Lepisosteus oculatus: one gene and its partner. The protein of the gene in region 2 purifies or fractionates together with the protein of the main gene of each other region. This does not show direct contact. Links are inferred from orthologs where the notes say so. Each region holds a gene or a part of one and is shown on either strand. Other genes may lie near its edges.

Evidence for each region. The genes of interacting proteins can lie anywhere in the genome.
Region 1: the proteins of sf3a3 (region 2) and snrpa fractionate together in Homo sapiens (co-fractionation; 4 studies listed by BioGRID and IntAct, with this or other methods). This does not show direct contact. The link is inferred for Lepisosteus oculatus from reciprocal best matches to the Homo sapiens genes SF3A3 and SNRPA.

Annotation. Positions count from the first base shown.
Region 1 is NC_090698.1:2,558,778-2,566,562, forward strand, and holds the start of snrpa (U1 small nuclear ribonucleoprotein A), read left to right. Parts: upstream 1-4,766; 5' UTR 4,767-4,876; intron 4,877-6,219; 5' UTR 6,220-6,233; coding exon 6,234-6,306; intron 6,307-6,909; coding exon 6,910-7,082; intron 7,083-7,785. Other genes in the region: actmap (actin maturation protease), read right to left, coding at 1-304, 871-941, 1,186-1,315, 1,744-1,868, 2,176-2,244, 2,870-3,042. UniProt on the Homo sapiens protein: Component of the spliceosomal U1 snRNP, which is essential for recognition of the pre-mRNA 5' splice-site and the subsequent assembly of the spliceosome. U1 snRNP is the first snRNP to interact with pre-mRNA.
Region 2 is NC_090706.1:5,553,449-5,560,774, forward strand, and holds the start of sf3a3 (splicing factor 3A subunit 3), read left to right. Parts: upstream 1-4,326; 5' UTR 4,327-4,472; coding exon 4,473-4,568; intron 4,569-5,412; coding exon 5,413-5,460; intron 5,461-5,839; coding exon 5,840-5,892; intron 5,893-6,260; coding exon 6,261-6,366; intron 6,367-6,507; coding exon 6,508-6,580; intron 6,581-6,918; coding exon 6,919-7,010; intron 7,011-7,326. Other genes in the region: centrosome-associated protein 350, read right to left, coding at 493-671, 1,428-1,521, 2,383-2,457. UniProt on the Homo sapiens protein: Component of the 17S U2 SnRNP complex of the spliceosome, a large ribonucleoprotein complex that removes introns from transcribed pre-mRNAs.

The DNA.
Region 1 (7,785 bases), on a different chromosome or scaffold from region 2:
AGCAGCACCACCTGCCCCGCCAGCCCGGCGCCCACCCCACCGGGGGGCAGCACGTACCGCGTGCCGTCCTGCGCCCGCTGGGGGTCGAGCTGGCACAGCTGCCCGTTGCTGTCCCGCAGCCTCTCCAGCGCCCACAGCTGGTAGCGCAGGCTCTTGCCTTGCTTGGCCAGCAGGTGCACCTCCTCCACGCCCTGCCTGGGGAGCCAGGGGGCGCCACTAGCCCGGGGCAGGAGCAGCCAGGGCAGTTGGGGATCGTGCTGGAGCTGCCCGGTGTCCGTACCTCTCGCCACTCCCAGCAGGACCCCTGCCAACACACACCACAGCCTCCTCAACATCTACCCCTACCCAGTACACCTGCCCGCGAGGTCCACTTTCGCTTGGCTCACACTGAGCATCTAGCTGGGCCAGTTAGAGGGAAGGGTCTTCTGCCGTTTGTTCCACACAGTCTCTGAAGCTCTGAATCACTGCAGCAGCAGATCACATGCTTCACTTATCGCAGCTAAACTGAACCAGGTCTTGGGAAACGAGCGATTTGCTCGTTGCCTCTACAACAGGCAACAACGTTCCCTCTACAACAGGCAACAACGTTCCCTCTGAAGACTCCTGGTTTAGTGAACCAGCTGGAAAAGCAGAGTGACCTTGTTATGATTGCAGCAGTGGCCTGAGAGCTCCAGTCTTGGGGGACTGCAGAGCCTGGGGTTCTATTCCATCTCATTACACCTCAGAACGAGCTCAACTTTAACGGGTCCGATTTTTAACATTTATAAGGAGCCAGCGTTGATTTAAATACCCCAAGAATGCCTGCGAACTCCTGGGGTTTCGGGGGGGGCTCGGGGCTGGCGCACTGCCCCGCGGCGGCTGCTCTCTCACCTGAGACCACGGCCCAGTGCGCCCGGTGCCCGTTCCGCAGGCACGGCTCGTGGTTGAAATCCTCATCGTAGCTTCCAGACGTGGGAGTCAAGGAATCCTTCAGGCGGTGCTGCAGAGCTGGGTCACTGGGTCAGTTACGTCCTGACTACTGTCGAATCTTTGTGGCAACGTGTAAAGGGGATCACCGATCGATGACTGGGCTGGGGTGACTGACATTACAAGGTGCCCACACTTTGGCCACATGCGGTTGGGCTACGGGGCGCCGTCAGCGGCAGTGGTCGTGCCCAGAGGGGGGCTCTTGCCAGCGAAGGATACGGGACGAGGAGGGGCTGGCCGGCGGCGAGGTGCCCTATGACGCGCATCTCATTCTCTCCCCTCAGGCCTCCGCTCAGCAGCTCCGCAGCTCCGCCGTACAGCTCCTCCGCCAGCAGGGCCATGGCCTGGGCTGGGGGGAGGGAGAGGAGAGGACAGGGGGTGACAGGAGCGGCACCGAGGGCCCAGGGAGGTACCCTGGGAACAAGACCCTACAGCCTTACCCACGGAGCAGCTCTGAGCTGTTTTTCTAACTGCCCGATTTGAAACTGTAAAAATGTGTTGTCTTCGTTTTGGACACCTGGTGCCCAACGGCACTTCCGTTTGCATCTTCACGGTCTGTGGGGGCACCTGCCCCCCCTCGGAGATCACACAAGGTCACGAGACCAGACGCGCATGTTGGGAGTCTGCTCAGTGTCGTGCACAGTGTTGTGTCCCCGTTGGACCGCACCTCCGCTATCAGAGTTGCTCATTTTCACAGCCTTCGGTCCAGCTGCGAGAGTAGTGGACGGTAGGAAATGGGAGAACGGACACTGTGGGTCAGTCGAGGGGGCGGCTCACCTGAGAACATCTCTCCCTGGGCGGTGTACCCTCTCCCCAGGGCTCGGGCCACGATCTGCTCCAGAGGCAGGGGTGTGGGCCCCTGCAGGAGGTGCCCGGCCATCCACAGAGCCACCAGCCCACACCTGTGCGGCAAACCCCCACTGTCACCCCGGAAAGAGACACCCCAATGCACGTTCGCCCCCAAAACCTCACCTCGTCACTAACACACTGCTTCTGCTCCAGCGCAGACTGCAAAGTATCGCAGTCGGCCAACCAGCACAGCGCCCCCCTCTGTCACACTGGTATTCGGACTACGATCTGAGTGGTGCAAGTGCTAAATATTTCTTTCTTCTAACTCAAAATAATTCAGCATATTTAACGTACCCAAACCTCCCTGACCAGACACTCATGTCTAAATGTCCACCCAGGCCGGGGGCGAGGAATACTCACTGTGGCCCATCCTGGATCAGCGATGGCACATACTTATTGAACAGCACCCACTGCAGGTCTCTCCGGAAACTGCAGAAGGAACACATCCTCGTTTCTAATCCGCACATCCAGTAAAAAAAAATACATTCTCCAGCGCAAGTGAAATTGCATCTGAAAGAGAAGGGAATGCTGCAGGCCAATATTTATTTTATCTTTAATATTTAAAGTTTAGGGCGGAGCGGTGGCTCTGTGGCTCAGGATCTGCGCCTGTGACTGGAAGGTTGCCGGTTCAAATCCCGTGGCCAACAGAGGAAACCTACTCTGCTGGGCCCCTGAGCAAGGCCTTTCACCCCAGCTGCTCCAGGAGCGCTGTACAATGGCTGACCCTGCGCTCTGACCCCCAGCTTCTCTCCCTGTCTGTGTGTCTCATGGAGAGCAAGCTGGGGTCTGCGAAAAGATGAATTCCTAATGCAAGAAACTATATAGGGCTAATGAAGAAATATTATTATTATTACATTATCAATACCCATGTGTCTCTAGCAAGCTCAGAAATACGGGATGGCTTTCGCATACTCCTGTTTTGCTCAGATCTGTACAGGTCTCAGTCTCCTCCGAATTCTCATCCTTTGAAATCGCGCAGTTTGAGAAAATGGGTTGTGAGTTCGGGCCTCTGGGTTTGGCCACAGTCATTCGGGCAGCACTGCTCCCTTCCTACCTGTCCTGTCTCTGCCGGAGAAGCAGCCGGGCCTCCTCGTAGTCTCCCGAGACCGGGGCCTTTCCTGCGGCGATGGCCTGGTACAGCTTCTTCTTCCCTGGGCAGGCGGGGGCCGGGGGGGGCGGCGGGGGAGCAGGGGGGGGCGGCGGAGCCACGAGAGTCGGGGTGCTCATGGCCGTGATTTCCCTTCAGGGGTCTGTGGTGAAGAGCGACCGGACCGGTGAAGGACGCCGACGCAAATACACAAAATGTCTGCCCGTCTGCAGCCGCGAAACGCGAACGAGCAGTGCGGGGCCCCAGATACAGGCTCGAGGCGAGCAAGGGCTGGCCTGGCTAGTATTGGGGTGGGAGACGTCTAAGGGAAGCCAGGCTGCTGCTGTCAGTGGTGTTGGTGGACCAGTAGGTGGCGATATTCCCTCTGGACAGGTGTCTCCAAGGCAGTGCCCCAGTATGAAAGCTGGGGACCCTGTTTGGGAAGAGGTGCTCGTGTCCACCTGAGGTCCTGCCTGATCGGTCAGTAGAGAGAGGACACTGTCCGCAGGGCTGCTCTCCAGCCTGGCCTCCCTGCAGTTCCTCCTAATGTCCTCTCAGCAGTTTCTCTCTCCTCCGCCTCATCTGTGAATAGTGAGGCAACTGTCTGTCCTGCAGGTGAGTGCACCTAAATGTTCCTCTGGGGTGGAAAGTGCAGTATAAGTGTCATTAACGACAATGATAATTATCCCATCCTGTTCACGGTGTGGCCCCGCCTTGTGCCCTGTGCTTCTGTAAAGGACTCCAGGGTTCTGACCCTCATCAAGTTTAAGGTACAGCACCCTTACCTTAAAGCCAACTTCAGTCACCCTTTTCTCATATTGAACGGTCACTTTAATAATCTTATAAAAGACCACCACTAGCCCTAGCCAGCGGCTGGGATGAAACATACGGAGCGGAAATAAAATTCTTCACAGACTCGCAAGCGAAGAAGTTTATTCGTGCAGTCCCAGGGAGCACGTGCCCGGACGCAGCTCGCGTGCAGCGCGTCAGGGACAGAGGGGCTCCCCGATTTGGGCAGGGATTAAAAATAGACAATAAACAAATGTACCATCACTGGCTAGTTAAATGAAGTTGGAACTTTTGTATTGCTGCACTTTTTAGCTGGTTTAAACAAAACAATTAAAAAAAACTATTGTTTTCCATTTTGATGTGTGCAATACGGTGAGTTTTACAATCATTGTATAATTAAAAAGGTTTAAGTCAGAATTTGCAAAAATGTATATGAAAAAAACCTGCCACGATCAGCACACCTTCCTTTAAACGTCAGTGGAACTCGTGAAACTGGCTATTTCTGGCCAATCATAAAAGTATTTGCAATTTTATTTAAAAAAAAACTTCGCGGGATGCGTCGTCTTTTATAATTACCAAGGTAAATCAACGCGCAACTACAGCTATCTTGGAAACATTTTTATCAAATGCATTCCTTCACACACGCAGAAACCGGCCAGAACTGTATTTACTGTCTAATCAATTCTAGGCTTAACGAGCTATCAAATACTTACCCATGGAAATCGTCGGGTCCAAGTCGGGAATATTTTTACTGTGACACCCGGCGTAACACACCGTCAAGTCAAGGCGAATCAAGCCCTCTGTGAAACTGCAGATAATCATTCGTCATTTTGGCTCTACCCAGCGATTAAAAAGAAAGGCAAAACCAACTCCTTCTTAGCGCCAAAATGGCATCGTAAGCGCGTGTAAGAAGCATGTCGGACAGATTGTCCAATCAGAACTAGAATCAGAGACCGGGTGGGTGGGATATACTGTACATGTGTCCAATCGAGAGCTGCTCTAGCTTTCGCCTCCAATCGCGTTAAGGAACGTTAACAGGTAGGCGGTGTTTATGGAGTGATTGGCAGGGAGCTGGCAAATTACAGGGCAGCTGCTAGCAGTTAGTCTCCATGGTCGCCCGAGCGCAAGGAAGTCCAGGCGAGTCGAGGGAGTAGGCCGCAACCGGGAGCCGATTTTAAACAATCCGTAAGTAAATCCTTTTGTAAACGAGCCATCGTGTAATTATTTTATATTCTTTAGTCAGTTTGGTGATCGTGCGATGAACAACAGGGAGTATTTTTGTTTTTATGAAGCGTGGCGGTGATTTAATTAAATAAAGGAGCCCGACTCGGGCGTAATCCCGAAACCGTTCATTCGCTGGGCGGATCTGATTCGCGGTTGTTTGTACAAAACTATTAACTTCGTAATCGTCGCCAGAGCTCCAAAGGCGTTCGGCCGTTTTGAGGGGATTTTTTGCGAAATAATGAAAAAAAATCGCAGTAAAATTTGAATTTTTGCGCGTGTATTGAGGCGGTTCTGGTGGGCGCTGGCGGTCCTGTTGTTTGGATACCTCACTGCCGGAATAACCGGGCTGGGGGTGTGATCCACCGAGTGAAACCCCCGGGCTCATGATCTGGAAGCGGGACAGCCTGAACCGTGTCCTTCGTGTTCCGAAAGAGAGGGGGGGAGTCGGGCGACTTTCCCTCCGCTAAAACCCGTTGACCCGGGGGGGGCTCGGTTCTGAGCCCGTGTTAACGATGCCCGATCTTTGCTCCTTGGTATCGAGAGCAGTTGAATTTGCCAGAAGATGGAGGCGAGGGTAAAAAAAATAAAACCCATATTTCTTAGTGTCCCAGTAGGCTGTCCCTTTGAGGGGGTTTGTGTGAGAGCGGTTCATGTTTAGGGCGACTGGGGGACGTGGGGAGATCTGGCCCGGATCGGAGGGAGTCCGTTCCTCCTTGAGCTCCTGGTTTCGTGCAGCTTTTTTGTTTTTAAATAAGTTTTTATTTGAACACCAGAAATACAAAAAAAAAGGAGACAGAATAAATGAAATATATACAGAAATACGCACTTCAAAGCGAGAGGAATTCACAATTGTAAACACTAAAAATTAGATATTTCCATTGTATGTCTTTCTTGTAAGTTTATTTCTAACAGGATTTAAATAAAAAAGGAATTCAAGTTTAAAAGCATGAATAGAGGGAACAGTATTAGAGCATTTACATGTGTGGATAAAATATTTTGCCAAATAATTAACATTAATAATAAAAACATATCCTTTTTTCCAAACCAGTTCTAACGAAATATAAAATAATATCAAAATCTTTCGATTTAACATTTGCCTTTACATGTTGAGCAATAACATTTTGCAGATCTGTCCAAAACAGTTTTGTATATATGCAGTTAACAAACAAATGTGACGAAGATTCCTTCTCATTATTACATAGTACACAGAAATCGTCTTGTTCATCCAAAAAGTGACGATTCTGGTTTCGTGCAGCTGTGTAGCAGAAGGGACCGGGTTCTGAGCTGTGCTCTTTCTTTCCCAGTGTCCTCAGCGGCCATGGCTATGCAGGAGCTTCGCCCGAACCACACCATCTACATCAACAACCTCAACGAGAAGATCAAGAAGGATGGTAGGTGCCCCCAGCAGACCCCTCGTGTCGCAGGGGAGAGGTGACGTGTGAGGAGGGCTCTCCACCCGTCTGCCCCGTTTGTTCAAGCAGGGCGGATGGCCCCCGGATCAGAACCGCGTCGATGTTGTGTTTCTGACTGGGACGTGTGTGATTGCAGCAGTGTTGACGTGTGACGGGAGGTTGGGTCTGCTGGATAGTGGGCCTCTGGGTGATGTCTGGCGCAGATGGGCCTGAGGGAGGCCAGTGTTGCACCAGCTCTTGTGTGTAACAGTAAAATAATTCCCTGTGATTTATCATGGCTTTGTCCTTTACAAACAGGGGGGTGGGAGTGTGTAACAGGCTACCCAGCCATGTGGTTTGATGATACCCTGGATTCTCAGGAAACCGCCAGATGAGGTCCTGTCATCAGTTAGCTACTGACTACTAAATGGGCTGTGTCTTGTAACCCCCCATTTGTGATCTTTCATGTGTTTTTTTTTTCTGAATGCAAGGAGTTTCCAGTGATTAACAGGAGCTGATGTAAAGATCATCACTCGGGCGCTAGTGTGTGGAGGGGAGGTCTTGGCCTGCCTGGTTTTCTCAGGCGGCTTGCTTTTCTTGCAGAGCTGAAGAAGTCCCTGTACGCCATCTTCTCGCAGTTCGGCCAGATCCTGGACATCCTGGTGTCGCGCTCGCTGAGGATGAGGGGCCAGGCCTTCGTCATCTTCAAAGAAGTCAACAGCGCCTCCAACGCCCTGCGCTCCATGCAGGGCTTCCCCTTCTACGACAAGCCCATGGTAGGGCCCGCTGTCCGCGGCGCTCGCTTGCAAGCGTGGCTTTTCTTGTGCTGCGCATGTGGTGGGGGGGTTGTGGTCCTTATTAGGGAGTTGTGGTCCTTATTAGGGAGTTGTGGTTTTCACTGTAAAAGTTCTCAGATGAAAGCAGGAATTTGTCGGGAGTGCACGACCCAGGTGTTAAAAAAGCACCAGAGTAAAACTAGGCAGGCACGGCACTGTTTCCTCTCGCATGATTTTCGTCCTGCCCAGGGTGTAGCCCTCCTTGCGCCTGTTGTTTGCGGGTGTGGGTTCCAGTTTCCCTGAGATCCTGTCTCGGATAAAGTGGTTTAGAAAATGGATGGATGTGATGTTGTTCATCTGTTGCACTGACCTCCATCGTAATAAATTGGTTTGAAAGAATGACGGTATCTGTGCTCTGCTCAGATGTGAACACTCAGTGGGAGCGGTTTGTATATAAATGCTGATGGAGCAGTGCTGATGAAATTAACAGCATTACACATTGTTTTAAACACCTAGAGGACCCCCGATCCCTTTGCCCGACAGCTGTTTGTTGACTTCAGCTCTGCATTTGTTAACCTGCAGTCTCATCTTTTGATTAGCAAGCTGAAGCAGTTGTCTGTTAATTCTGTTATCGTTTTTAACAAATCGCACAGTGCGTCAGGGTCAGTAAGACTCTTGAGTTTACAGTGTGAGTCCATATTTC
Region 2 (7,326 bases):
TAGGTTATCAATACTTATTAACACTCACAACTAACAACTACAGCAAAGAGTGTTCAAAAGTTGTCATATGAGAAATTCATATAAGAAAAATGGACCCTGTGAGGGAATTCATCTCCGATTTTCCAATAAATCCAATCTTGTATGATCATTTTGACAAATAATGCCTCATTCTACCTTACAGAAGAACTGCATAGAAATATTTTCCACATTTATTTACACAGGACAAGAAAATCTAGAAGGAAACGAAAGTACTTAATCCATCATAGAAGGTGTTCCTAAACTCTAGGTCTTTGGGTCTAGAATTCATTAAGGTTTTTAGTCTCTTTAAATCATCAATAGTATAAGAGTCAAGGGGAAGAGTAACCCTTCTCCTAGATATATAGTTGTTTTAACTTAAAGAGACTGAGAATGCATGCTTGCTTGTGAACCTGTCAGGAACCTTGCAACAGTCTTTATGGATGCATATTCAGATACCTGTGGAGAAGGATATACCTGATCTCTCAGTTCCAGCTGTTTTCTCTGCAGCTCCAGAAACCTCTTTTCCCAAACAGCTTTTTCCTTTGAAATCTGTGATTTCAATAGCTGAATTTCACTCTCAGCTTTGGATAATCTCTTGCGAACCAAATTACTGCAGTCATGAAGGTTTGACGTCTCTTCTGAGACTTCAGTATCTAGAAGGAATGTTCAATAGAAAAAATGGTATAAGTGCACTTGGCACAGAGAAATGTGTTATTAGCAGACATCCCACAACCTCCAATAGGTATTTCAGTTTTTTTGCACTGAAGGGCCTCTGTTGTTTTACAGGCACTGATGTTTCCTACAATTTTGGGTTTTGTAAAGAATGCAGCACTCTGAAACACTACTCATTCAAGTTTAAAATCAAGATTAGTCATCTCAGACAAATTAATCTCCATTTTACAGAGCTCCAGTTCATGGTGAGCACCCTTTCAAATCACAAGCAAAGGTGGTGGTGTAAAGGTAAGATTTGTTTCTGAAAGGATAGATTGAAATATTGCGCTTTGAAGCATCTTGAAACATCAGAAAACTGTTTTCTGACATGTTATGCGCTCCCTCTGCTGGAAGTATGCGTGCATAACATCCTACGTCAAGATTACACTCGAGAGATAAAAACATTTTTATTTCGCGATTTAAAATTTCACCGTATTGTATTTTATAGTATTATTCTAGACTACATACTACAAAAAACATGGAACTTCTGCTGTAAGGTACATCCAGTAGAATAATCTGAGCAAAATAAACATCAACACAGCCTCAAATTAAAATGTTTCATTTCTGGCACCACTATTGAGGGTGTTCGTGGCGTAATGTAATAATAAAAGACTTGCACAACGTATTAACCTGAAATATTACTTTAATTAAAAACTTTTTATCTTCTCATCAGGAAAAAAAAATGATGAACCACAAACCTGTTTTTTCAAGCTTGGGGCTGTGAACTGTAAAATCTACAATCTTTCGCTTTTTACTGAGATAAGAAGACGTGATTGCTTGGAATGGGGTCACCTGGAATGAAAGACAGAAAAGTGAAAAACTTGGCCACAGTATGGAAACAACAGAAACGCCTAGTTATCCCTTCAAAGAGTTCCCAAGAAAACATTAGCCTATTCCGTTAAAATATTTAAATAAGAGTGATCGTGCTACACTTGGTACAAAAGAGATGGAACACATTTTACAAATATAGTACATCGAAAACTCTAAAATAAAACCTTTAGTCCTTTTAAATGGTTACATTTTAAGCAATTGAAGTCTAAAAAATTCCAACGAAATTAAAACTACATCAAGAATTCGTTATTGAAGTTTTTATTTTTCAGTCTTAAATGATAGGAGGTTGGCAAGACTTGCATATTCATTTATGTTAAAATTTATATAGAAATGCATGAATCTGCAAGTTCTACTATGTTTACTTTTCACATACTGTATAACAGTAAAGCTCATCAGTGAGCTCTGAATTCCAGATTATTTGTTTGCTTGCCCAACGATGTGAATGTGAAACCACAACGTTTGTTTAAATTACTATGGTTTTGTCATTCCTTTCTAGATATCATTTAGCACTGCATGTTATTTTAAAAAATGTAATAATAGTGTTACTGGGAAGTGCACAGCAATAAAACATAGGCTTTTGGCTATAATTACATCATGCAGTCCTGTCAGCTACAGACTAATAGCTCTCATCCTACATAACTACCATACTGTATATAGCTTTGCTTAATATCTGTCTTTATTCTTAAATAAAATCCCCATCAACACACCTGTATCTTGTTAAATGCAAACAGGCAATTAAATAAATACATAGGTTTTACTATCTTCACGTATGCTTTTATTTTGCTACTTTATAGTGTAGAGCCTGAAAGTTTTTTTACTTACCCACATAAATCTCCAGAAACATATCAGTCCTCTAAATGTCCAATCTAACATAGACCAGAACACACAGAAGACCATATTGAAGCCAGCTAGATCTGTGAACTATATACCCATTAGTGGAGCTATAAAGAAAAGGGATACAACAACAAACAGCTTCATCCAGTGGTGCAGAAATGTGGGTTAAGTCAGACACTATAAGCTTTTAGCCTGCATGTAATTACCATTTATTTTTTAGCAACAACTTTAAAAAGTCAACGCTTGAAAACATTATTTATTTTACCCAATAGAGGCTTTGCTTCAGCCATGTTGCAGTGGTTTAGTTAGAATCTGCGAGGGGACATATGAAACACAGTTTCTCAATGAGCATTTTAGCTCTCAAGGAAAATGAACATATCTAATTGATTTCTATACATTTACATATGACCAGCATATGCTGCCAGCAGCAGCCACTGAGGGCTCATGATTGAAGGACAGAGTAGCAGAACACATATAGTACAACTATTTTAGCCCTGCTGTCAGTTCTGCTAAATAATATCAGAAATCAGCATAGCCTAGTACATATTGCAGCTAATGCTACCTTTTAGTTCTGTGTCTTGGGAATCCTTAAAGCCTTTTCTAGAGAGATCCAATTGCTGCCATGTGGTGTGGAAGCCTTTTCTAGGTCAGAATGTAGTTACAGCCCAGGCGTGTTCCCTTGGCTATCGCCCTGTGTATAAATTCCCTGCTGTTGCTATGAGGGTTTGTTGACAGGTGAGAACCAATCCAGTTAATAAATCTAACCTAATCCTCTTAGCCATTGGTGCTGGACATCCAGTGGAACTCATACAAAAGTGAATTTGCCACTCTGCCCTAGTTAGCATGGTTTAAATCGTTCCTCTTTTGGTTATGTTTGAAAAGAAATGCCAGTTCTAGTTTTTCTAGACAAAACATAAAATAAGGTATTTGTTATTCTTGGAACACAGGACTAGTCCCAGAAATCACCCCCAGTGATTTTCAGATAATATACAAGATTTTATACAAAATCAAAACCTCACTGTTTACAGTGTTATTTAGATGCATATAAAACTGTTGCATACGAACATACTGTATTGCCAGGTTTTAAAAGGGCAAAGGTTTGAGTTGTTATTAGTTGACTAACAGTAATAAAGCAATAATAATTATACATTCTGCTTGCTTCCACCTTTCTCATCTATACGACACCCAAGGGTACAGTTATATTTCACAAAGAAGCAAAAAGATAGCACTGTAACTCTTGGTCTCTACTGTGAGGAACTTCCGTGGCGCATAATATTTAAATGTCATGCTCGTCCAGAACTTAAAAACCACAGTTGCTCACTAATCAACGTAACCAACTATTACTGAGAACCGAAATGATTTGGTATTGTAACGCTTACGGGTTCGTGCAGGACGAAATTAATCGGAGACGGACTAAACTCACTAACACCAATTTTTACTCTCCTTTACGTAAACAGACCACGGGATTTACGCACACATTACGGGACCAAGGGAACATGTACTCGGGTTTATGGTGGTAACTCTTTAACAGACTCTACACACTAACTTATAGGGCACTAAACTTCAGGGAACACTTAAACTAACACAGGTATATTTACATGAGTAGGGTCAGCTGCTGCTTACGGTTACGGACCCTCGGACTCCCCCGGCCTACAATTCCCAGCCTGCTTTGCGGTAGCCTCAACGCCGAGGTGCACTTCCTCCTCACCACCGGGCGATGTGTTTATTTGATATTGACAGTGTTTCGGATGAGTAAAATATAAAGTATTAAGTGCTGGTTTGAATATCTAAATTGAATTCATGAATTATTTTTTTCCTGTATTAACTTTTAAAATAGCGGTAATGATTTTGAGAAGTTACGACTTGACCAACACAAAAATGGACATGACGTCCCGGAATCTTTCGACTGCGTTTGTTGTTTCTCAGTTTGACACCGGACACTTTAGGGAGATGCTTTCCGGTAGTCTGTGATGTGGTGCGTGTTGCATTCGCCTCCGTCTGTGTGTTGTGACTGTACGGGAGTGAAGCGGGAAAGGCTACAACTTGTCTTTTGTATTTGTTTCTTGTTTCATTAAAACATGGAGACCATTTTGGAGCAGCAGCGGCGCTACCATGAGGAAAAAGAAAGGCTCATGGATGCCAAGACAAAAGAAATGCTACACAAAAAAACTACGGTAACTTGCGCAGCACCCGCCTTTGAGTTAGGCCCGTGTTTGTGGACCCGCAGATCCCGGCAAATTAGGGCAAACCTTTTTTTAGAAAAAAAGAAATCAGTAGGTCGGTTCTGTGTTGTTTATTTTAATGTTGCAGAACTCTTTCGTTGTTTCAAAATGTTTTACGTTCAAATAATATACTTGGTTTTAGACTGCATAAATAAATACTAGGTGCTTTAAGAGATTTCAGAGGCTGTTTTCAAGTTGTGGTGCACAGTTGTTTTCAGTGTTTTTATTCACAACCGCATACTTTAACTAATTACCTGGTTGAATGTAAAAAATGTAACCGCTTTCCTTGTTTTTAAGGTATTGGGTCTCTTCTACGCGTGTGAATACGTTTTTTAAACATTTTATTTTTGACCATATGAAGCAAACGATCTGCTTGCAGTTTTTGATTTTCCTTCACCGAGATTTGGAGCTGCTTGTGAACTTGAATAGATGAGCTGATTTTGCTTCACATGAGTTATATTCACGCTTTGTATTCTAGTGAAAAATTAGCAATCGGAAGTGGGATGCAGAAATAAAGTAGCTGGTGCCTTTTAACTTGCCCTTTCACCTATTTCTTTATTTAAATTATAGTCTTATTTGGAGGTGTAATTAAAAGTTCTTAGTATTATTACAAATTCTAGTTGTACTTTGGAGGATACAGTGACAGGTAACTTTCTGCTTCAAGCAACATAATTACCGTCCGTGATTTTGTCAACGGTGACGTTGGTCACACTCATATGTGTGCCGTATATGTATGGATTTTGGCAAACTATACATTCTGATTTGTCACAGAGCTGATTTTCTCTTTCTTGTTTAGTTAAGGGACCAGATAAACTCAGATCACCGGACAAGAGCAATGCTGGATGTGAGTAATGCGTTTATTTCCTATCTTAAGTCCTACAGCCACGTCGGATATTTGCTTGATTTGTGGTCCTTTTTTATTTCATGGGTAATTAAATAACATCCAGGAATTGGATGCTTGGAATGCTTGGTGAGACAAGCTTGGCTTAACCTGCTTGGTTAAACCCAGTTCAGACCAAGGGGCAGCTGCAAGGTGGAGACGGGTTTGAGTTGAGTATATGTAGCGAGTTACGTCATGATGATGGTGACTAGGTACAGCTCTGTGAGACTGACTTGTCACCCTTCCCGCACTTCAGTCAATAACTTCCACGTAATAAAATATAAGATTGTACCTCGTTAAGTATGTTTTAGAAAATACAACCGCATTTTAATTGCTTTTCCAGAGGTACATGGAAGTGAGTGCAAATCTGCGGGATTCCTATGAAGATAAAGATGGGTGAGTCTGTGGATCCAGCGGTTATTTCTGCTGGTATTGATATAAACACGTCATTGCAGAATGATTAAAAATGCTGCATGAACTCTTACTTCAGATGATCTGATTTTCGTTAACGAGTAGATTGCCAAACTAAATTGTTCTGCTGTGCTCTGAACAAATCACCAGAGAGTACCAGATTCTTCAGTTGCCTGTTGGTAGATTTGTCATACAAAGGAATTAAAACTAACTTGCTTTCACATATTGAGCAGGTAACATTTTAACTTTATATAACCATGACATTAGTAGATATTTACAAATGCATTTCTAAATATTTGGGTTTTTTTTTTTATTTGAATATAATGTTTCTTTCTGCATGCCTGTCCTCACAGAATGAGAAAGGAGGAGCTCAGTGCTATTTCGGGACCAAATGAATTTGCTGAATTCTACAACCGGTTGAAGCAGATAAAGGAATTTCACAGGAAACACCCCAATGAGGTGAACTTACACACAACAACAAGGCATTTACCTGAGATTGCAGTTTAATTGTGATCTAACGTTTCATATTAAACATGCTTTTCTGTTCCAGAACTGTTTATCCTTCTTTCTTAATCATGTTAATGTTTTTTGATCATTTAGATCTGTGTTCCCATGTCTGTTGAATTTGAAGAGCTAATGAAAGCCAGAGAAAACCCCAGTGAAGAAGCACAGAGTAAGACGAAAATCTTTTGAGATTAATCCAATTATGATTTGGAAGGAAAGCAAATCCTTTTTACATGAATGCATTATCTAACTCCTTTCACAGTAAATCTTTTCTTAGATCTCTTCCTAGTCTCTTTCTTTAGTTTATTTTGTGACCTTGTTGACTTTTTTCTAGTGGTATTTCTGCATTGTTAATCTCAGAGATGTAAACTTGATGAAGAAGGCAGAATTATGACTAAGAATAACAGTTATTTGGTGATGTTATCTTGAGTAACAAATATCTTTAGTTGTGTTCTAACCTATTGTTCGTAAGACACTCACTTCTTAATGTTTTGTAAATATTGTTAGATTTAGTTGAATTCACTGATGAGGAAGGATATGGGCGATATCTTGATCTTCATGATTGTTACCTGAAGTACATCAACCTGAAAGGAGCAGAGGTAAGATCTTGGATTTAGCTTTATTTTGTTTCACTTGTGCACTTGGATATCATTAACTGCTGGATAAGGAAATAAAAATGGGTATTTGATCAGGATTGTCCATTTGGGTACGAATAGATCATTGTTCCTACCAAGAATCTGCTTTATGCATGGATAACTTTCAAGAAGTGCTTTGTGTCTTAAATCGATTTTCATTTAGTTGTCTTTTGTATTGTCTGGGTTGCAGTACATTGTAAATCTGAAGACATTGTTGTCCTGACTTTGTCGGTACCTTTGAGAATTTTGAGATTAATGTCTTTCAATATCGCATTCCAAC